Linked DNA regions of Tamandua tetradactyla. The protein of the gene in region 1 purifies or fractionates together with the protein of each later gene. This does not show direct contact. Links are inferred from orthologs where the notes say so. Each region holds a gene or a part of one and is shown in the gene's direction. Other genes may lie near its edges. The genes, in order: TBC1D15, UBAC2 and UBXN8.

What was found.
Region 2: the proteins of TBC1D15 (region 1) and UBAC2 purify together in Homo sapiens (affinity purification with mass spectrometry; 3 studies listed by BioGRID and IntAct, counting the BioPlex papers as one, with this or other methods). This does not show direct contact. The link is inferred for Tamandua tetradactyla from reciprocal best matches to the Homo sapiens genes TBC1D15 and UBAC2.
Region 3: the proteins of TBC1D15 (region 1) and UBXN8 purify together in Homo sapiens (affinity purification with mass spectrometry; 3 studies listed by BioGRID and IntAct, counting the BioPlex papers as one, with this or other methods). This does not show direct contact. The link is inferred for Tamandua tetradactyla from reciprocal best matches to the Homo sapiens genes TBC1D15 and UBXN8.

The regions. Positions count from the first base shown.
Region 1 is NC_135333.1:140,430,254-140,437,532, forward strand, and holds the start of TBC1D15 (TBC1 domain family member 15), read left to right. Parts: upstream 1-4,180; 5' UTR 4,181-4,283; coding exon 4,284-4,313; intron 4,314-7,279. UniProt on the Homo sapiens protein: Acts as a GTPase activating protein for RAB7A. Does not act on RAB4, RAB5 or RAB6.
Region 2 is NC_135330.1:168,146,424-168,154,129, forward strand, and holds the start of UBAC2 (ubiquitin-associated domain-containing protein 2), read left to right. Parts: upstream 1-4,705; 5' UTR 4,706-4,899; coding exon 4,900-4,930; exon of another isoform or gene 4,931-5,373; intron 5,374-7,706. UniProt on the Homo sapiens protein: Restricts trafficking of FAF2 from the endoplasmic reticulum to lipid droplets.
Region 3 is NC_135352.1:12,814,439-12,821,629, reverse strand, and holds the start of UBXN8 (UBX domain-containing protein 8), read left to right. Parts: upstream 1-4,121; 5' UTR 4,122-4,150; coding exon 4,151-4,238; intron 4,239-4,424; exon of another isoform or gene 4,425-4,772; coding exon of another isoform or gene 4,773-4,818; intron 4,819-7,191. UniProt on the Homo sapiens protein: Involved in endoplasmic reticulum-associated degradation (ERAD) for misfolded lumenal proteins, possibly by tethering VCP to the endoplasmic reticulum membrane. May play a role in reproduction.

The DNA.
Region 1 (7,279 bases):
GCAAGTCATTAATCTCTAAGAGGTTCAACTTTCTCAATTGAAAAAGTTACTAGAGACTATCACTAAAGAAGTCTCCCCTAGGTCTAGAGTTTCTTTAAGGCATTTATTATTAAGATTCTTTTGCATCATATGACTTTCAAGTGATAAATTATAATTAGTGAATGACTATACAGTTTTGGTGAGTGAACCTAGGAATTATGAAATTACTTGATTCTATGACAACATTAATTATTTTAAGTTATAGCATAACTTCATTTACGTTACATTTTATATGCATGCTGTTTAAGGAAAGAAAAAGACCAAAATATGTCTTCTTGCTATACGTAAGTGTATTCTGATTTCCCCCCCACCAATATAGTAAAAAAACTGAAATCTGAAACAAAACACTTTGAAGTTGTGGTAGGTTGAACCATGTACCCCAGAAAACCATGTTCTTAATCTTAATCCATTCCTGTGGGTGTGAACCCATTGTAAATAGAACCTTTTGAAAATGTTATTTTGAGTTAAGGTATGGCCAACTGAATCAGGATGAGTGTTTGTGCTGGTTTGAAACTATTACGGACCGCAAAAAAGTCAAATTCTTTTAATTCTAATTCAATCTTGTGGGGACAGACCTTTTGATTAGGTTGTTTCCATGGAGATGCAACCCACCCATTCATGATGGGTCTTAATTAGTTTATTGGAGTCCTTAAAAGAGTTCCTGAGGGGGTGCAAGGGTAATTCAGCAGTAGAATTCTTGCTTGGGTTCAATTCCCAGCCCATACACTGCCCCAAAACAAACAAACAAAAATTCAACAAATGGTGCTGCAATAATGGGATACTCACATGGAAAAAGAATGAAAGCTGCCATAGAGCATACAAAAAAAAAACCTCCGAGAGAGAGAAAGAGCTCAGAGCTGACACAGAGAACAGATGCCAAATGCAGATGCTTGGAGAGCTGACACAGAGAGCAAAAAGTTCAGATGCTTGGGGACATACAGAAGCTCAGAGAGGAGGCCACTGGAACCAGGAACTGAAAGCAACAAAATCTGGGAGCAAAGGGCCAGCAGATGTCACCATGTGCCTTCCCATGTGACAAAGAAACTCCAGAAGCGAGCAGCCTTTCTTGAGTGAAAGTATCGTCTTGTTGATGCCTTAATTTGGACATTTTCATGGCCTTAGAACTGTACATTTTAACCTAAAAAATCCCCTTTATAAAAGGCAACCCATTTAAGATATACGGCAGCATTAGCAAATCAAAACAGTATTAATCCTATTATACTGAAGGCCTTATAGAGAAGACCACAAGGAAAGAGCTTCCCGGGAGAGGGAGAAGCTGCAAGCCAGCAGAATCTGGAAGAAAAAGAACACACAACCATTTATACTCTATGTGATAGAAAAGTCACGGGCCCATGGATCACTGTCAGCCAGCCCCAGAATACCACCAGACTTCAGGGAGAAAGCATTGCCTTGCTGAACATCTTGATTTTGGACTTTTCTTAGCCTCAAAACCATGGGCCAATAAATTCCTATTGTTTAATTTAAGCCAATTCATTTCATATTTGTGATTGCTTCTGGCAAATTAAGAAAAACATCCTGACTTTGTATAGTGGTTTGGAACTGTATGTAACCCAGAAAATCATGTTCTTAAAGACAATCAATTCCTGTGGGTATAAACCCATTGTAAGTAGGGCCTTTTAAGGAGGTTACTTCATTTAAGGGATGGCCTAGAATGAGCCTTAATCTCCTTCCTGGAGTCCTTTATGAGAGGATGAAATGCAGAAACAGAAAACCATGGAGGCAAAAAGCTGAAAGCAACAAAACCTGAAACAGAAGGGAGAGACCAGCAGATGCAGCCATGTGCCTGCCATATGGCAGACAAATCAAGGCTTATTGGCAGTCAGTCAGGGAAGAAAGCAACACCTTGATGATGCCCTGATTTGGAAATTTTTCTCAGCCTCAAAACTGTAAACTAATAAATTCCCATTGTTAAGCATGGTATCTGCTTTCAGCAGCCTCGGAAACGAAAATATCTTGTTTCCTCCATTTGCTTATATAGAGAGGATATTGTTTAAGAAGGAAAATAGATCTCTCTCCTCTTCAGTGGAACTGTTACGTTAGGAAATATGCCTTTCCTAAATGGGTCAGTGATTCAAATAAATGTATTCAACAAACATTCATTTTGTGTTTATTGTGTGTCAGGCATTGGTGCCAGGTGTAATGTCAGAGATGGAGAGTGTAGTTCCTCCTTCCAATAGTTCACAGCCTAGTAGTAAAGGCAATTCAGAAAACCACCAAATCTTTCACAGTGTGATAAGAGCATAGGGTGCTATGGGATAGTATAACGGAATCTCTGTGATTGATGTCTTTTTGTTTGCCCAGCAGCCACTCTGCTTTTTTTTCTGGAATAGTACCTGGATTTTTCTCTGGCAAATTACCCTGCCACGTGGAGTGGGGCGGAAGGCATATGATTCAAACCTGGGTGTGCCACAGTGATCGGCCCAGGACCTTCCCCACAATCCAAGTAAAAATCTCCTATGGTCAGTAGTTGTCTTGAGACACAGCCTGGCACATACAGGAAACAGAAGATATTTGGCTATGTTTGGAGAACTGGGTCTGAAAGGGAAAGTTATTGGAGATAAGGCTGAAATGGAAGGCAGAGTTTATGAAGGATTTTGTGCTCTATGATGGGAAATTTCGACTTTTTTTCCTCAAGAGGTGGGAACATTAAAGGACTTTAAGCGGAGAATTCACATGATCACATTTATGCTTTAGAAAGATCTCTCTGGCAGGACTGTGTTTGATGGATTCAGGGGAAGATGAAGCAAAAAGCAAAGGATTGAATTAGGATGCCACTGCAGTTGTCCAAATCACAGGTAATGAGGAAACTGAACCATGTGAGTAGCAGTGAGGACAGTAAAGAGAGGAGTTATGGAGATGCTGTCCCATCAGTTTTCCACAGAACATCTCTGAAAGGGGAAACATAGCAGCAACACCTTTCCATAACTGTCTTTAGTTCAATAAAGGGTAATAATTTTCAGGGAATAAAAATAAAATTCAAGTTTCACTTAAGACTGTATTTCTCAAACTTAAATGTGCATCCAAATCACCTGGGGATGTTGTTACACTGAAGATTTTAATTCAATAGGCCTGGGGTGGGCCCGGATAGTCTATTTCTAACAAGCTCCCAGGTGATGCTATTGCAGTTGATCTGAAGACCCCACCACATATCCATTCTCATCTAAATTCCTGACGCCTCCCTCAGCCATTAAGCTTCTGATATTCACAGAACCTGCAACCCTCCATTTCTGTGGTTCCCTTTGGTTGCCAATTACCTCAATCAAGGTCAAGAGCCTCTAATACCTCTCTACTCTGTAAAGATAAAACAGAAGCACCTCAGGGGGGCACAGGTGTTTTTGGTGAAAAGGAGCCTAAATTCTGTCCAAAATCTAGGGAAGTTTCTATAGAAATTCTCGACCTTGGCCCGGAGCTATCAAGAATTGTATCCACTCATTCTCTCGGATTCGTTTACAGCACGGAGAACAAATTAACATCTCAATATCTCAACAAGTCATCTTACCACACATGCTCTGTCCCATGTGATCAACCACTTCATGGGTCACTCTCATTTTACATCCTAAGGCTTGAATGAATTGAGAAACCTGTTTAAAGTCACACAGCTATTAAGCAACTCTGTAGGGGCAATGAGCAATGTGTTCTGGAGTCTGGAGCAGTGAGGGCGTGGTATTATTGCTGCTTTTATCAAAATACCTTGTTCACGGTATTGACTGAGCGGCAGTAACCAGGTTCAAATTTAGAGAAAAGTCTCAGTGTGTGTCTCTCGAACAGAGCGCTGTGGTTCCTTTAACCTTCACCACAACCCTACCATCTCAATTTCACACAGGAAGAAAGTGACGTTTAGAGGATGTGAGTTGCCTACGGCCATAAAGACAGAACCACGCTTGCTGGCTCCCAATATGCCGTTCTTTCCACCATTCCAAAGTGAAGTAGCCGCCTAAACCGTCTGTGTCTCGCCTCCGGGAAAACCTCGATTCAAAGACATTCAACTATGGTTCATAACCAGAAAAATTAATTTAGCACATGCGCAGTTCTCAGCCAAAGACTCCACCCGAGCGACCGCCGAGCCCTATTCAGCACGCATGCGTCAGACCGCTCCTCCGCGCCTCTTCAGTTCCTCCCTACCGCTTTCCAGGCCGGATGCCCTCTGAGTTTCGCCGGATGTTGTTGTGAGTTCGAGAGACACGTGAGGCCTTGCTACGTCATCACAGGCACGCTCGGGAAACATGGCGGTAGCGGGTGTTGCGAGCGGGAAGGTAAGTAACGGCTCCGCGGAACACTCCTGTTTTTCTCTTGAGCTGTGTCTTTATCGCCTGGGGACGCGCCGCGGAAGAACGCGAGGGTCTTTCTGCAGTGGGGACAGTCCATGGTAGATGTAAGAAAGGAAGACTGGGTGGTGTCAGCTGTTTTCCCCAGAATGCCGCCTCAGCCCGGGAATTAGAAGCCGGGCTCTTGCTCCGAGGCCACCTAGGCCTCGATGCTCTTCTGCTCTGCTGTGCCCCAGTACTGGAGGGCTTTTATTCGTCTTGCTTTTTCTAAGAGATAGAAAATTAATAACATTTTATTCTTAACATTAAAGAATAGCATTTCCTTTTTTTCTTGCACGCTTTTTCCTGACTCTAGTTCCTTGTGTCTACTTTTCTCACCCCAGCGTCTTTTTTTCTCTTTATTTGAGGCATTAATCTGACTTGCCGCTGCCTTCATTTGCTGCATTCTACTGAAGGCATCTCCTCCTTCGCGAGGAACTGAATAGGTGCTGTGCAGTTGTATGCTTAGGAGAAAAATGGTCATTGTACCCATCTTATCAGACAGCTGAGTTGGTTAGTAGTTGTGAGCAGCAGGGCATGTTTCTACTCCAGAGCTGGAGATTTCCTCCATCCTTTGCTGGTCTAGTAAGGTGCTGCTTGTTCTTGGTATTTCCTAGATAGACAGCTTCGTGATGTTGCGGAGGTGGTGTCTGCGGTGCCACTGATTACAGAGGCGATCAGTGAACCTACCCCTTGTTAATTAGGGTGTGGAGGATATCTTACTGTATAGTGTTTGTTCACATTCCTAGGGCACATCTTATGCCTATTTTTCAGGGCAGTCAGCTTCCTGACATTGGCATTTCCCAGTGCAGGAGTATTTGGTAAACAGCTGGAACAAGTGATGACTCATCGAACACTAAGGTTTATTTACCTTTGCAGATAGCTTCCCCTCTTCCTTTAGTTTCAATAATATTTTTCCTACACATCTCCCTCCTCATCCCCCCTTCCCAGCCTCACTAAATTATCTGATAGTGTTTGTGGTTTGGTGTCTGGACTAGTAGGCAAAGCGACAGAACAACAGATATGGTGGTATGGACCTGGTTTTGTTACTAATCTGAAGTGTGGCCTTGGGAAATTGGGCAGTTATGCCTTTGTTTGCTTATTCTTTTTGCAGAAAGAGTCCAGTCTTTCTTGTACTTGTTAGGTTTACATGAAATGTAAAAAGGCTTTTTAAAAAGGTTCCTTACTTCTACATCCTACGTACTTTAAATTATAGATGGAATTATAGGTTGATCATCCTTTTTTGGATATTCACATCCCTTGGTTTCCTGTTAGTTTTATATTTAGGGTGAATGTTGATCTTCTCCTTGCTCACAACATATTTGAAAGCTATCGTGCTTGATTTTCAATCTGAAATGATCCAGAGGGGATCCTTTCCATTTGAAGGACACCTCCCCTTTCTTATAAGAGTGAATTAGTTTTGAAAATCCTTGAGATGATGAAGCAGAGTTGTTTTTTTTTTTATTAACGGAAAAAAAAAGAAATTAACATAACATTTAGAAATCATACCATTCTACATATGCGATCAGTAATTCTTAACATCATCACATAGATGCATGATCATCGTTTCTTAGTACATTTGCATCGGTTTAGAGGAACTAGCAACACAACAGAAAAAGATATAGAATGTTAATATAGAGAAAAGAAATAAAAGTAATAATAATAGTAAAAAAAAGAAAACAAAACAAAAAAACCCTGTAGCTCAGATGCAGCTTCATTCAGTGTTTTAGCATGATTACTTTACACTTAGGTATTATTGTGCTGTCCATTTTTGAGTTTTTGTATCTGATCCTGTTGCACAGTCTGTATCCCTTCAGCTCCAATTACCCATTATCTTATCCTGTTTCTACCTCCTGCTGGACTCTCTTACCAATGACATATTCCAAGTTTATTCTCGAATGTCCGTTCACATCAGTGGGACCATACAGTATTTGTCCTTTAGTTTTTGGCTGGACTCACTCAGCATAATGTTCTCTAGGTCCATCCATGTTATTACATGCTTCATAAGTTTATCTTGTCTTAAAGCTGCATAATATTCCATCGTATGTATATACCACAGTTTGTTTAGCCATTCTTCTGTTGATGGACATTTTGGCTGTTTCCATCTCTTTGCAATTGTAAGTAACGCTGCTATAAACGTTGGTGTGCAAATGTCCGTTTGTGTCTTTGCCCTTAAGTCCTTTGAGTAGATACCTAGCAATGGTATTGCTGGGTCATATGGCAATTCTATATTCAGCTTTTTGAGGAACCGCCAAAGTGCCTTCCACAGTGGTTGCACCCTTTGACATTCCCACCAACAGTGGATAAGTGTGCCTCTTTCTCCGCATCCTCTCCAGCACTTGTCATTTTCTGTTTTGTTGATAATGACCATTCTGGTGGGTGTGAGATGATATCTCATTGTGGTTTTGATTTGCATTTCTCTAATGGCCAGGGACATTGAGCATTTCTTCATGTGCCTCTTGGCCATCCATATTTCCTCTTCTGGTAGGTGTCTGTTCAAGACTTTTTCCCATTTTGTAATTGGGTTGGCTGTCTTTTTGTTGTTGAGTTGAACAATCTCATTATAAATTCTGGATACTAGACCTTTATCTGATATGTCGTTTCCAAATATTATCTCCCATTGTGTAGGCTGTCTTTCTACTTTCTTGATGAAGTTCTTTGATGCACGAAAGTGTTTAATTTTGAGGAGCTCCCATTTATTTATTTCCTTTTTCAGTGCTTTTGCTTTAGGTTTAAGGTCCATAAAACGCCTCCAATTGTAAGATTCATAAGATATCTCCCTACATTTTCCTCTAACTGTTTTATGGTCTTAGACCTAATGTTTAGATCTTTGATCCATTTTGAGTTAACTTTTGTATAGGGTGTGAGATATGGGTCTTCTTTCATTCTTTTGCATATGGATATCAAGTTCTCTA
Region 2 (7,706 bases), on another chromosome or scaffold:
TGCTTTGGGGAAGACCAAACTAAAACAGATGGTAATAATATAAAATTCTTTTTAAAACAATTTTATTTATGAAATAATTCAAGTTAAAAAGAATCTCAAATCTTCTTTGTTATATTGTTCCATTATATTGAAACCCTTTCACCTAAACATGCAGTTGGAAATGCTTGTAATAAATAACTTCACTTCCATTTTAAAGGAATGCAAGTTTTAGCTCAAACTAAAACTTTTTGTAAAAAGATTAAATAATTATTTTATGCCCCATTTTTTTTAGCACCATTAACTTTTCCTGCAAATATTGGCTTATTAATATGCTGCATCCTTTTCAACTGGGTAAGTTAACAAATCTGATATTAGTAATTCATACTAATCTTTACATAAGAATATTTTAAAGCATGAAAATCAGCCATTTCTTTCTAAATCAGTATCCTTAGACCTATCCTTATTCAACTGCTACAGACTGAAAATTCTGGGCGTCTGTTAAAATGATGAAAGTTTATTGAAAATTTCCATAATTTCTTTCTCCTTAATAATATCGATCTCATTTGCTTATAGTTTAAGCACTTCAGTTAGCATTTTTGATATATGTGAAGTATATGTCAAGCGATTTCATAATATTTTTAACACTATTTAAATTTTCATTTATTGAAACAAAAATTATATGTTAGTATTAAAGAATAAATTCAATGTTTTAAAAGAATTTTCTTTGGAATGCCATCCCATTTCCCTATACAGGATAAGACAAACTCCTATTCATCATTTCCAACAGGCTTTTAACCTACAGACATGTGGTGGGACCGTGAAACACTGGCTAGGGGAGAAACCAATCCTCCTTTGTGATCCATCTGGAGATTTTCTTTCTGATGCTAAAACTCAGAGATGTGTTTTATTTTATTGAAAGAATACAATGCCTTCTCATTAAAAGAGACTGAAATAAGTAGGATACAACATTTTATAAGACATTCCCTGCCTTTTAATGGCTCACCCTTTTCTAGAAGTCGGAAACATAATAATTGAGACAGTGGGATAAATATAACATAGGTGTGCATAAACTATGATGGGAGCACAGAATAGGGAATAAGTACTTCTGCCTGTTAGGGTCTGGGAGAGATATTATTTGAGCTGATTTTTTGGGAAGAGTTTATCAGGCTGAAGGAATTGTAGCTCCATCCATTCTATGATGTTCCTAAAGCACATAGGTAGCAGTGCAAGTATCTCAAGATGAATCAGATTACTTTTGACTACTTCTGGATCTTTCTGGTGGAGACAACGCTTCACCTTTGTAATGCCTATACAAATGAATATTTATTTTCTTACACTGTACATACATGGTGAGTTCCCAAGGCTTAAAAGCATACTATTGTCCAATATAGAAAGCAGATTCAAAACCAAATTCCCTACATAGCAAGGCAAAAAGATGATTCCTAGTAACTGACAGACTTAGTTTTCCGTAATAAAAACCACAGAAAAGATAAGGGGGAAATACAGGCACAGGCAACAAAAATGACAGACACCAGGAGTTCATGATAAAAGTTGGATGAATTACGCTAGTGTAGAGTTTCTCAATCTCCACACTATTGATGTGTTGGGTCTAATAAGTCGTTATTGTTGTGACACCCCAAAATGTCTCCAGATAATGCCAAATGTTTCCTGGAGAATAAAAATACCCCCTGATGAAAATCACTGCACTAGTGCTACTCAAATGTTAATGTGCATACAAATGACCTGTCTTATTAAATGCATATTCTGCCTTAATAGGTCTGGCATGGGTCTGGCACTATAGTCCAAACCAGATATCAAGTGAGGCCCATGCTGCCCCTCCAAAGACCACACTTGCTTTTTGGAAGACAAACCTTCAACTTCCTACCAATCAATAGGTACATGTCCTCAGGGCATACAGTTGAGGGACACTCAAGTTATGGATCGCTGCAAATACTTTCAAGCAAGGTCTGGATACCATTTTAATTATATTGCATTTTGTTGCAAAGACTGTAGAATTGAACATAACTGAAGACTTTTTAAAAAAAAACCTTTATCTTCAACAGTTCTCATTCTTTTTGTTCTTGGGAGCCTTCTACATTCTTTAAAAGTTATTGAAAACTAGAACTTTTGTTTAAAGGCTATATCTATTGACATTTACCATACTAAAAATTAAAACTGAAAAATCTTAAAAATTTATGAAATTCATTAAAAAAAAACACTATGCCCATCACAGGCTGAATTAAATAACCTGTTAATGAAAAATTACTGTACTTCCCCAAGCAAAATATTATGGGGTAAGAATAGCATTTTGTCACATTTCACAAATGTTTTTAATGCATGGCTTGATGGAAGACCCCTGGATCCCCGGAATATCAAACAAAGGTGTGAATTCTTTTGCCAATGCCTTCAAATGATGAACTCCTGAGACACCTGGGTTTCAAAGAAAGAAAAAGTTTATTAGATTCAAAATATATCTCCCTGAACTGCAGTAACTCTCATAGTTTTATAGCATCAAAAGATGGGCAGGTTTTAGGATAATGAGCACAATGGCTCCAGATGATGTAATTAGAGGTGATTTAATTATTGAGCAAGCACAGGCTGATTACATGCTTAGTCATAGGACATACATAATAACGGCCTTAACATGATGATGGATATGATTTTTAGTTATTGTAATGAGATTTCGGTGACTTATAGGTTAAAGTCTAAGCTACTGCGCACATCAGGTGGGCCCATTTTGGTTAGATCAGTCTCAGTTATCAAGATTAACTTTAGACTTAGTTCGGGGCAGACCCAGGAACTTTCATTAACAAACATTAGGGGCTGTCTTTAGTGATCACAAACTCTTAAGTCAAAAAACTGGATAAATGGGTACAAGTGAAGGTTAATCACAAGGTTTTCATAATCACAAGGGCACAAGATAAAGCTGTACAGTCATTATTAGAGATCAAGTCACCTGGATTACAATTCAAAGATTTCAGGTATTTTCCTGTCTACTCCCACACACTGGAAAGCAAAAAAGGAATATCTATGTAATGACTCAGCAATTAAAGTCATCCCTTTTTTTTTTTTTTTTGCATGGGCAGGCACCAGGAAACAAACCCAGAACGCTGGCATGGCAGCATCCCTCATATCTTAATTTCTTATTTACAATATTTGTGTGTTTTTGGTTTGTGTGATATATTGTTTGCTTGAAGTATATGAAGTAAATCTGGCCTCCCACAGATAAGTAATAAGGAAAGGAACATTTTAACAGCAGCCTTTTCAGATAATCTTTACTGATGCTATACCAAAACTTAAGTGGTAGTTTCTTAAAGACTAGTTGCAGTGAGGAATCTGAAGCCATATCAATGAACATTTTGTACTGTTTAAAGTCAATGGTTTATCTTGCAGTTTGAATAATTTTTTATCCACTCATACTTTTGTAACATCATGCACTGATCATCAGGAAAATAACGGTTCACTAAGTCATGCAGATTTTCCAACTGTACAGTGGAAAATTCCACAAATACTCCTGCGTGGATAAGAATAAAAAAACACAAACTGATGTTTTGGTCTTTTGCATCCCTAAAAGATCTGGGCGATTGCTCAGGGACTTCCATGGACTGTCCTATGTCAGCTACACGTTTTGTGACCAAACAATTTCTGCAAACAGAAAAGACGTTTAAACTATGGTTGCATCGCAAAATAAATCAACTGGATGAGCCTAAAGTTAAAATATTAAATGTAGTTTATAATTGTGAACAAATCTTACAAAGAAAAACCTAAAGAATAAAATAAAACTCACCGTATGTTTGCCTTCTAGAAATAATCAACATTAATATTCTGGTTCACTGGAATCTATTGAGGGCAGGTCTGTATTTTATTAATCAGATTTAGCACACCCATTGGCCCTTATAAGCACTCAGTTTTTTTTAATACGCATATTTTTAAAATAGAGTTTTGAAGCCTGTCATTTTCACTGAGCCTTGAAGTGTGTTCATATTCCCATAAGATGTAGTTTAAAACTTTTTAACGACTCAAAAGTTTTAGGCTAAAACTCATATTAAGGAAACCTTAGCTTTGTTTTACGAAAAGTAATTTCATACTGCAAGCTAAAAAAAAATTAAATGACTTAGAATTCATTAAAGGACCCACGTCTGAGGACGCCAGGATGCAAGTCTGGGGAACAGAGCCGCCCCCGTTCCCACATTACTTCTGCCAGGGATCCCCGGCCATAGGCCGTCCGCGGCGTTAGCAGGACAGGGTGTATCCAGCAGCCCCCACACCGGTCCCGGGTTCCGGACCACCATGCTCGGCGCTTATCGTGGAGACTCGGGTGGGGCCGACGAAGGGAAAGGGAACAGCCAGACGGCCCGGTTCCTGCGGCGAGGAGGGTCGTCCAGCTCCCCTTTCCTCGCTGCGAGGCCGGCTGACCAGCGTGTCGGCCCTGACTTGACGCCGGAACCTCAGAGAGTTCTGTGGTCCACAGTTCCCGGCCGAGCGAGTGTCCGCTGCAGGCCAGAGAGTCTGCGCGACTGGGGAGGTTGGAAAAGAAGACGCAAGGAATGCCTAGTCCAGCATTCCAGAGGAACCAGCTGAAAGCGGCGTGGGGTCGGCGCTGAGCAGAGATGCGCGGTTCCCGCAGCTAAGCCTCGTTTCCTCCCAGGCCACCTCATTTTTTCCATACGGTTACCTCGGCCGTCGTAAAAACCCGGAGAGACGACCCCCGGCGGTTGTGGACGCACTTCCCTTCCCCGGCAGGAAGGGAGCTTCAGAAGCCGCGCATGCCCCGTACGTCAGGCGGGCCCTCCAGTACAATCGAATCGTCTGGTTCACCGCCTCCTCTGTAGTGCGCCTGCGCGTCGCCGGGCCTCTTCAACGCCGGTTGCCCTCCCCTTCTCCCCGCCCCCTCGCAGGGGCTTCGGACCCGGCGGCACCATGTTCACCAGCACCGGCTCGAGTGGGTTTTGTGAGTACCGGCCGCCGCCATCCTGGCTGTCTCCTACATGTCAGCCTGGGCACCTCCTTGAGGGAAGTGGGGACAGCAAGGACCCTCGGGTTTGCAGGAGGTTTGGGAGCCGATCCTCCATCTCCGCCCCCGACCATTCATCCCGGCTCCGGAACTCGGTAGTTCCTGCCCTGGGGGGCAGCGGGTACTGCCCCTTCTACCCGAAGCGGCGAGTGGGGAATAAGTCCCGCCGCCAGCCTCGGCCCTCACCTGTGAGCCCCAGGTGCGATGCCTTGGTGCCCGGGGGTCTGCTGCAGGTGGGCTAGGCAGTTAGGATCAGGCTGGGTGACTTCGCGTTCTCCTAGCCCGGCCCCGCGCCGTTTGAGGCGTGGTTGCCAGACGCTGAAAGTGCCAAGCCGAAAGAAGAGGCTGTTCCGTTGCAGGCGTGTCTGGAAGCCTGCCCCTTTTCCACTCACCTTGCTCTATTCGTTTAGACTACAGTCGGACCGACTTTCCCAGAAGCCGATTTCAACCTCTGCTTCAGGAGCTGATCCCTCAGTTTTACCTAGATTTGATTCCTTCCCAGTTTCCCTTAAAAGTTTGTAGTTAAACGAAAATTGGTTAAAATACTTTAAAGTGGTGGGAAGTGAGCACGTGCTTTAGTGAGAAATCGCACTTTGCTGTTGTACGTTCCTATATTTTGAGTGTTAGAGGTGGTCAGAAGATAGAGGACAGAGAAAGATATATATTGTTTTAAATAATTGTTTCTCACCGAAATTGAGTATTTAATTTACTTAAATTAAATTAAATTAAATTAAATTTAAGTAAACTGATGAGGTGTGTTAACTAAACAACACTGTGTTAAGTAAACCACACTGAAGTTAGGCTTGACCCATCAGTTAACTGTTTGAACAACCATAGTTTGGGGATTCATTGTAGTGCTTCATATCTCTGTACACGTGAAGTTAATGTTGCCAGAGTGCAGAAGCATTTGCTATTTCCAAATATTAAAGATCTGTTGTGAATGTCACCAATCTATTTCTGTGACTATATATGTTAGTGTGAGAGTGAGTTAGTGTCAGAACTACAGGCTTAATTTTAAATCTTCCTCACTTCACAACTTCTCAGGTTTTGATGTTTGATGTTTATGATTTTCCTTGTTTCATAATTTGAATTATGGCCTCTTTCATGAATTGGCCTTAGAGTACAATTCAACTACGAGGTAATTAACCTCCCTAAAACTACCTCTTGGATGAAGGACATTGTAACTATCAATGAAACTGGCAGTCAAGGAGGGGGTGTGATTTTCCTAGGATCACACAGTGAGTGAGTGGTACACTGGTGAATACGAAGTTTTCAGCAGAATTCTTCAATCCTGGTTGTTCTTTCAGTGTTTTGAACTATCCTGCCTTGTTGACTAAAATACATATAAAACATTTTTTTTTAAAGGCAAGGAAAATCTGTTATTGGTTATTATGCTGTTATATTATATTGGCAAAGTTCATTCAGACTTGATAGAGGGTTCCTCTGGGGAGGGTAATACTTTATTACCTATGGCACAGGGTTGATGAATATTGAATTGTAGGAACCAAAATGTTGCCCCAGGGTGAGGCCTAGGGCAAGGACTCCTCAGTTGTCTTACCCTGTTTTTAAAATAAGTGCATTCATAGGTTGAGTTGATAGGATGGCCATTCCTCAGAAGACCATGTCTTATATGTTCATTTAACAAACATTTGGGGCATCTGCTATGGACCAGGCACTGTGTTGAGTTCTGAGAAAACAGCTTTATACAAGTCTGTCCCAGTACTTGCGTGCTTATAGTGGAGTTTAGGCACACTTTTTCCCAGGTCTGGTCTTTTGTTTAAAAATTAAACAAAATTGTTTAAAAATTTTTTTCTTTTTTCTGGCAAGACTACTTACTGAGAGGTACATGATTTCCATTAAATAAGAAGTTATGTGGCCCTTGTTAGGTCAAAATGCTGATCCTGAGGAAATAACAACATCTGCCTATGCTTGTTCCCAAGGATGGTGAATAACATTCTCTTTTTCAGTGGAGAAATCCCTGCCATTTGCTGCTGGTATCATTGTGTTACACTTGATTTTTTTTCTCTCCTTCATTCGTTCATTCAACAAATGAGTAACCTCATAAGTCACACACTGTTCATGCACAGAGGATAAAATGGTAAACAGGATGAAAGAGACCAACATAAGTATATTAACAGATAATTAACGTTATTTCACACAGTGGCAAGTGTTATCAAGAAAATAAGACGGTTATGTAAAGTACTGTTTTAGTATGTGAGGTCAGGGGAAATACCTGGGAAGGTGATGTTTGAGCTGATACCCAAACAGCGTGAAGGAGTTAGCCATGCCAAAATTTGTTGAAAATTTTTCATTCTGAAGAGAGTGAACGGCAAGCCCAAAGTCTCTGAAACATTCATAGCAGGGTGTTTGCAAGATACTAAAGAAGGCTGGTGCATCCAGGGCAGTAAGTCAAGTACTGTTTTAGTATGTGAGGTCAGGGGAAATACCTGGGAAGGTGATGTTTGAGCTGATACCCAAACAGCGTGAAGGAGTTAGCCATGCCAAAATTTGTTGAAAATTTTTCATTCTGAAGAGAGTGAACGGCAAGCCCAAAGTCTCTGAAACATTCATAGCAGGGTGTTTGCAAGATACTAAAGAAGGCTGGTGCATCCAGGGCAGTAAGTCAAGGGTAGGGCATTTGAACCTGGCATGTAATTAAAGCTGACTTTTTTTCATGTGGCGTTCAGTGGGTTCTTCAGAGACTCCCACAGTT
Region 3 (7,191 bases), on another chromosome or scaffold:
CTGGGTCACAAAGCAAGTCTTAACAAATTTAAAAAGATTGAAATCATACACAACACTTTCTTGGATCATAAAGGAATGAAGTTGGAAATCAATAATAGGCGGAGTGCCAGAAAATTCACAAATACATGGTGGCTCAACAACACACTCCTAAACGAGTGGGTCAAAGAAGAAATTGCAAGAGAAATAAGCAAATACCTCGAGGCGAATGAAAATGAAAACACAACATATAAAAACTTATGGGATGCAGCAAAGGCAGTGCTAAGAGGGAAATTTATTGCCCTAAATGCCTATATCAGAAAAGAAGAAAAGGCAAAAATGCAGGAATTAACTATCCATTTGGAAGAACTGGAGAAAGAACAGCAAACTAATCCCAAAGCAAGCAAAAGGAAAGAAATAACAAAGATTAGAGCACAAATAAATGAAATTGAAAACATGAAAACAATAGAGAAAATCAATAAGGCCAGAAGTTGGTTCTAAGAGAAAATCAATAAGATTGATGGGCCCTTAGCAAGATTGACAAAAAGAAGAAGAGAGAGGATGCAAATAAATAAGATCAGAAATGGAAGAGGAGACATAACTACTGACCTCACAGAAATAAAGGAGGTAATAACAGGATACTATGAACAACTTTACGCTAATAAATACGACAATTTAGAGGAAATGGACGGGTTCCTGGAAAGACATGAACAACCAACTTTGACTCAAGAAGACATAGATGATCTCAACAAACCAATCACAAATAAAGAAATTGAATCAGTCATTCAAAAGTTTCCTAAAAAGAAAAGTCCAGGACCAGACGGCTTCACATCTGAATTCTATCAAACATTCCAGAAAGAATTAGTACCAACTCTCCTCAAACTCTTCAAAAAAATCGAAGCGGAGGGAAAACTACCTAATTCATTCTATGAAGCCAACATCACCCTTATACCAAAACCAGGCAAAGATATTACAAAAAAAGAAAACTACAGGCCAATCTCTCTAATGAATATAGATGCAAAATTCCTCAACAAAATTCTAGAAAATCATATCCAACAACACATTAAAAGAATTATACATCATGACCAAGTAGGATTCATCCCAGGTATGCAAGGATGGTTCAACATAAGAAAATCAATTAATGTAATATACCATATCAACAAATCAAAGCAGAAAAATCACATGATCATCTCAATTGATGCAGAGAAGGCATTTGACAAGATTCAACATCCTTTCCTGTTGAAAACACTTCAAAAGAGAGGAATACAAGGGAACTTCCTTAAAATGATAGAGGGAATATATGAAAAACCCACAGCTAATATCATCCTCAATGGGGAAAAATTGAAAACTTTCCCCTAAATCAGGAACAAGACAAGGATGTCCACCCTCACCACTATTATTCAACATTGTGTTGGAGGTTCTAGCCAGAGCAATTAGACAAGAAAAAGAAATACAAGGCATCAAAATAGGAAAGGAAGAGGTAAAACTATCACTGTTTGCAGACGATATGGTACTATATGTCGAAAACCCGGATAAATCCACAACAAAACTACTAGAGCTAATAAATGAGTACAGCAAAGTAGCAGGTTACAAGATCAACATTCAAAAATCTGTAGCATTTCTATACACTAGCAATGAACAAGCGGAGGGGGAAATCAAGAAACGAATCCCATTTACAATTGCAACTAAAAGAATAAAATACTTAGGAATAAATTTAACTAAAGAGACAAAAAACCTATATAAAGAAAACTACAAAAAACTGCTAAAAGAAATCACAGAAGACCTAAATAGATGGAAGGGCATACCGTGTTGATGGATTGGAAGACTAAATATAGTTAAGATGTCAATCCTACCTAAATTGATTTACAGATTCAATGCAATACCAATCAAAATCCCAACAACTTATTTTTCAGAAATAGAAAAACCAATAAGCAAATTTATCTGGAAGGGCAGGGTGCCCCGAATTGCTAAAAACATCTTGAGGAAAAAAAACGAAGCTGGAGGTCTCGCGCTGCCTGACTTTAAGGCATATTATGAAGCCACAGTGGTCAAAACAGCATGGTATTGGCATAAAGATAGATATATCGACCAATGGAATCGAATAGAGTGCTCAGATATAGACCCTCTCATCTATGGACATTTGATCTTTGATAAGGCAGTCAAGCCAACTCACCTGGGACAGAGCAGTCTCTTCAATAAATGGTGCCTAGAGAACTGGATATCCATATGCAAAAGAATGAAAGAAGACCCATGTCTCACACCCTATACAAAAGTTAACTCAAAATGGATCAAGGATCTAAACATTAGGTCTAAGACCATAAAACAGTTAGAGGAAAATGTAGGGAGATATCTTATGAATCTTACAACTGGAGGCGGTTTTATGGACCTTAAACCTAAAGCAAGAGCACTGAAGAAGGAAATAAATAAATGGGAGCTCCTCAAAATTAAACACTTTTGTGCATCAAAGAACTTCATCAAGAAAGTAGAAAGACAGCCTACACAATGGGAGACAATATTTGGAAATGACATATCAGATAAAGGTCTAGTATCCAGAATTTATAAAGAGATTGTTCAACTCAACAACAAAAAGACAGCCAACCCAATTACAAAATGGGAAAAAGACTTGAACAGACACCTACCAGAAGAGGAAATACAAATGGCCAAAAGGCACTTGAAGAGATGCTCAATGTCCCTGGCCATTAGAGAAATGCAAATCAAAACCACAGTGAGATATCATCTCACACCCACCAGAATGGCCATTATCAACAAAACAGAAAATGACAAGTGCTGGAGAGGATGTGGAGAAAGAGGCACACTTATCCACTGTTGGTGGGAATGTCAAATGGTGCAACCACTGTGGAAGGCAGATTGGCAGTTCCTCAAAAAGCTGAATATAGAATTGCCATACGACCCAGCAATACCATTGCTGGGAATCTACTCAAAGGACTTAAGGGCAAAGACACAAACGGACATTTGCACACCAATGTTTATAGCAGCGTTATTTACAATTGCAAAGAGATGGAAACAGCCAAAATCTCCATCAACAGAAGAGTGGCTAAACAAACTGTGGTATATACATACGATGGAATACTATGCAGCTTTAAGACAGGATAAACTTATGAAGCATGTAATAACACGGATGGACCTAGAGAACATTATGCTGAGTGAGTCTGGCCAAAAACTAAAGGACAAATACTGTATGGTCCCACTGATGTGAACGGACATTCGAGAATAAATTTGGAATATGTCTTTGGTAACAGAGTCCAGCAGGAGGTAGAAACAGGGTAAGATGATGGGCAATTGGAGCTGAAGGGATACAGACTGTGCAACAGGACTAGATACAAAAACTCAAAAATGGACAGCACAATAATACCTAATTGTAAAGTAATCATGTTAAAACACTGAATGAAGCTGCGTCTGAGCTATAGGTTTTTGTTTTGTTTTGTTTTGTTTTTACTATTATTACTTTTATTTTTTTCTCTATATTAACATTCTATATCTTTTTCGGTTGTGTTGCTAGTTCTTCTAAACCGATGCAAATGTACTAAGAAACGATGATCATGCATCTATGTGATGATGTTAAGAAGTACTGATTGCAAATGTAGAATGGTATGATTTCTAAATGTTGGGTTAATTTCATTTTTTCTGTTAATTAAACAAAAAAAAAGAGAAGGGGTAATTGGAGCTGAAGGGATACAGACTGTGCAACAGGACTGGATATAAAAACTCAGAAATGGACAGCACACTACCTAATTGTAATGCAATTATGTTAAAACATTGAATGAAGCTGCATGTGAGGTAAAGGTTTTTTTTCCTCTCTATTATCATTTTAATTCTTATCCTGTTGTCTTTTTATTTCTTTTTCTAAATCGATCCAACTGTACTAAGAAATGATGAATATGCAACTATGTGATGATATTAAGAATTACTGATTGTACACGTAGAATGGAATGATTTCTAAATGTTTTATTAATTTTTTTTAATTAAAAAAAAACAAAAAACAAAAAACCAGGGAGGCTTATCTCAGACCCACCCAAGAGCCCGTTTTAAGGCCTTTTCCAAAATTCCTCGCTTGGGAAGAAGTCCTATCCCTCCACCCCGGACCTCCCGCCCTCCGGACGACGGCGCGACGGGAAGGGGCGGGCCTTCGCCCTGACGCGGAGCTCCCGCCACAATGGCTTCTAGAGGGGTTGTCGGTATTTTCTTTCTCTCTGCTCTCCCTCTCTTGTGTCTGGAACTCCGACGTGGGATCCCGGATCTAGGTAAGCATTGACTTTTGCACCCCCTGACTTCCCACCTGGCTCTTTGGCGTAAGTGTAGCGTATAATTTCCGCGTGGACGGCCGCGTTGCCTCTGGGCGGCTTTGACTACGATTCCCAGCCTGCACCGCGTCTGCCCCTCTTCCGGCGCTGGCCCGGCGGGCGTCCCCTTTGGGAGCGAGTCTCGGGAGTTGTGTAGGGGTGGGGACTGTGGGTGTGGGTGGGTTCTTTCCTTCGTTGCTCGTGAAAAGTTTCCCTCCGGTATTAGCTCTGTTCTTAATGGATTGCTTACGCTAGGTCGCTGGGATCCTGGGGTCCGTGTTACCAGCGCTGGCGAAGTTTTGACCTTAGAGGGACTGAAGGAAAAAGCGCAGGAACCAACAATACTTTCAAATTGATCTGAACGCCCCCACGGGAAGAAGCATAATGAGAGGATGAAGGCTTTCTGAGGGATTTTAGCTGAGATTTGCAGGATGATAAGGAGCCACCCTTGTGAAAAGCCAAGGGGAGAACATTCCAGTCATAAGGAATTGTGACATGTTGGAGGAAAGGGGTGAAGGCCTTTCAGGCTGGAGCAATGAAGGTAAAGGGGAGTCTGGCTCAGGATGATAATGTTTGAGTCCCGATTATAAACCAAGTGCTTTTTATCTCATTTACTCTTCACTGCAATCTTGGGAGGTGGGTGCTTATTCTAATTCCCATTTTTCAGCTAGGTACTAGATACATGGAGAAGAGTCTTTCCTGAGGTTTTTAAAAGATCATTCTGGATTCTGTGCGGACAAAATTTTGGAAGGCTGTAGTGGAAGCAGTTAGGTGCTTTAGGCTTCTGAAGTAGGCAAGTAGGAATGATAGCCTGGATTAACAGAGGAAATGAAATCTGGACAGATTTGGGATTATTGAGGAAGTAGAATCAAGAGATCTTGTTGATGGATTGACCTTCGAGGTGAGAGGAAAGGATTCAAGATTGACTCCCACATATGGGGGTTAAACAGGTCTAGGTAGTAGGGCGTTAAACAACTGTAGGTAGTAGGAAGTGCCATTGGTAGGGGAAACAGAAATACTGAAGGAATATTGTGACAAGGAAATTGAAGATTAAAGGATTATGATTACTGAATCATTATATAGTTGTTTTTCTTTCTATATTGTAGGCAGAAGTTAATACCTGAAATTAGTGAAACTCAACTAGTCTCAGCCCTGTTTATGCTTACGTTTGTAATGGTTATTGTAGCTTAGTCTCAGCCCTGTTTAAAGGTGCTGTTGTAATTGTTATTCTAAGCCTATCTCAGCATGGTATATACTTAGTGAAAGGTTTAGGAGGCAAAAGGGTGAAAAAGAAGAAAATAGACCAGGAAATTTAAAGTGAGCGAGTTTATTTCTGCGCTCCTGGGTAGAGCTCACTGCATCCAAGATGGAGAGAGGTGAGTCCGCACGTGGGCTTCAGTGCGGGCAGCTTTTAAGGATGGGGGTCAGGTAACATCCGGAAGGGGCCGTTCATTAGTTCCGGAAGTCAGGTTGGGAAGGGTGACACAGCCTCTGCAGCTCCAGCTGCAGTACCTTTCCCCATTCCCCCGACCTAACATTCCAGCCTTTTTGTGATAATAGGGCGCCGAGATCTTTCTGGCTACTTCCTGCTATAATGGGGCGGCGTGGGGTTATAGGCCGGAACCGTCATGGTCAGGGGAGTGGGGAGGCTGGCTATAGGAATCTGGTGAGGAAGGCAGGTGATGATAATGATGCAGGAGCCTCTGGTTGACTGCTACCTGGGCTAGTTCCTTCCTGCGTCCCTGAAGGAAGTTGAGGAGGCAGGAAACTAGGAGGAAAAAGAGACAGATTAGGATAACTGGTCCTAGTAGTGGGAGGAGCCATGTTGCCAGGGGAGAGGAAAACCAGCTTAAGGCAGAGTTGGTTCCTTGTTTTCTGTGATAGGGATCCTCTCTTAGTTTGTTTAGGGTCTGAATATTTTGTTCCACCTGACCCGACTCGTTGATGTAATAGCAGCATTCCTCTTGTAGGAATATACACGTTCCTCCTTTTTCGGCTGTCAGCAGGTCTAAGGCCCATCGATTTTGAAGAGTTACCTGGGCTAGTGAGGTGAGTTGGTGTTGTAGAGAGGAGAGGGATTCTGATGTTGATTCCAGGGCTACCTGTAGTCGAGTTTCGAAGTTTTGAGAGGTCAAAATATTGTGTCCCAGCACCCTTCCTGCTGTGGCTGAGGCTGTAACTGAAGCGGTTAGGCTGACACCTACTAGGATAGGAAGAAAGGAAGCCCTTTTTGAGCGAGGAGAGGGCAGTAGCCAGGTTAGTTTGGACTCCCCATAGAGGGTCAATTGAGGAACAATAGTTACCAGGAAGCCTGGTCCCGGGGCAGTGGAACTTTGGGCAAGGTGGCTGGAGAGGCTTTGCTCAGCCTGCAAAATGTCCGTGGATATCCGGGTAAAAGTAGTATTAATGAGGATATATTTGTGGTGTTTTCAGTGGTGCTTACAGGGTATTGGGACCAGCCACTGTAGTATAGCTTGCCTTGGATTCCTGCTACCCATCTTGTGTCCCAGGGATCTGCAGTATTTATGTAAGATTGCTGGGAGCTAATGTAGAAGGTACCTTTATGAGCTGCCTCCACATAAGCATCATGTATTCTGCATGACCAATAGGGGCATTCCCCCATATATATTGTCATAGTTGTTTTGGTTACAATAGCTTTCAGTTTGGGCATATGGAAAGCAGGCATATGGCCTTGGGCCCTTTTCAACTGATTTAGGATTTATGGGGATGGTTATAGGCTGACTACAACCTGTTAGAGGGCAATCTCCTGTGCCAATCATATGAGTGGTCAATCTATCATTTTGGCTAAAGATTTCCCTGATTTTGAACTTCCATACATAGGATGCACCCTCAATGGGGGTTAGGAGAATGAGTAGCATGAGTGAGGCGGACCCGAGTGGGCCCCGGGGGGGGT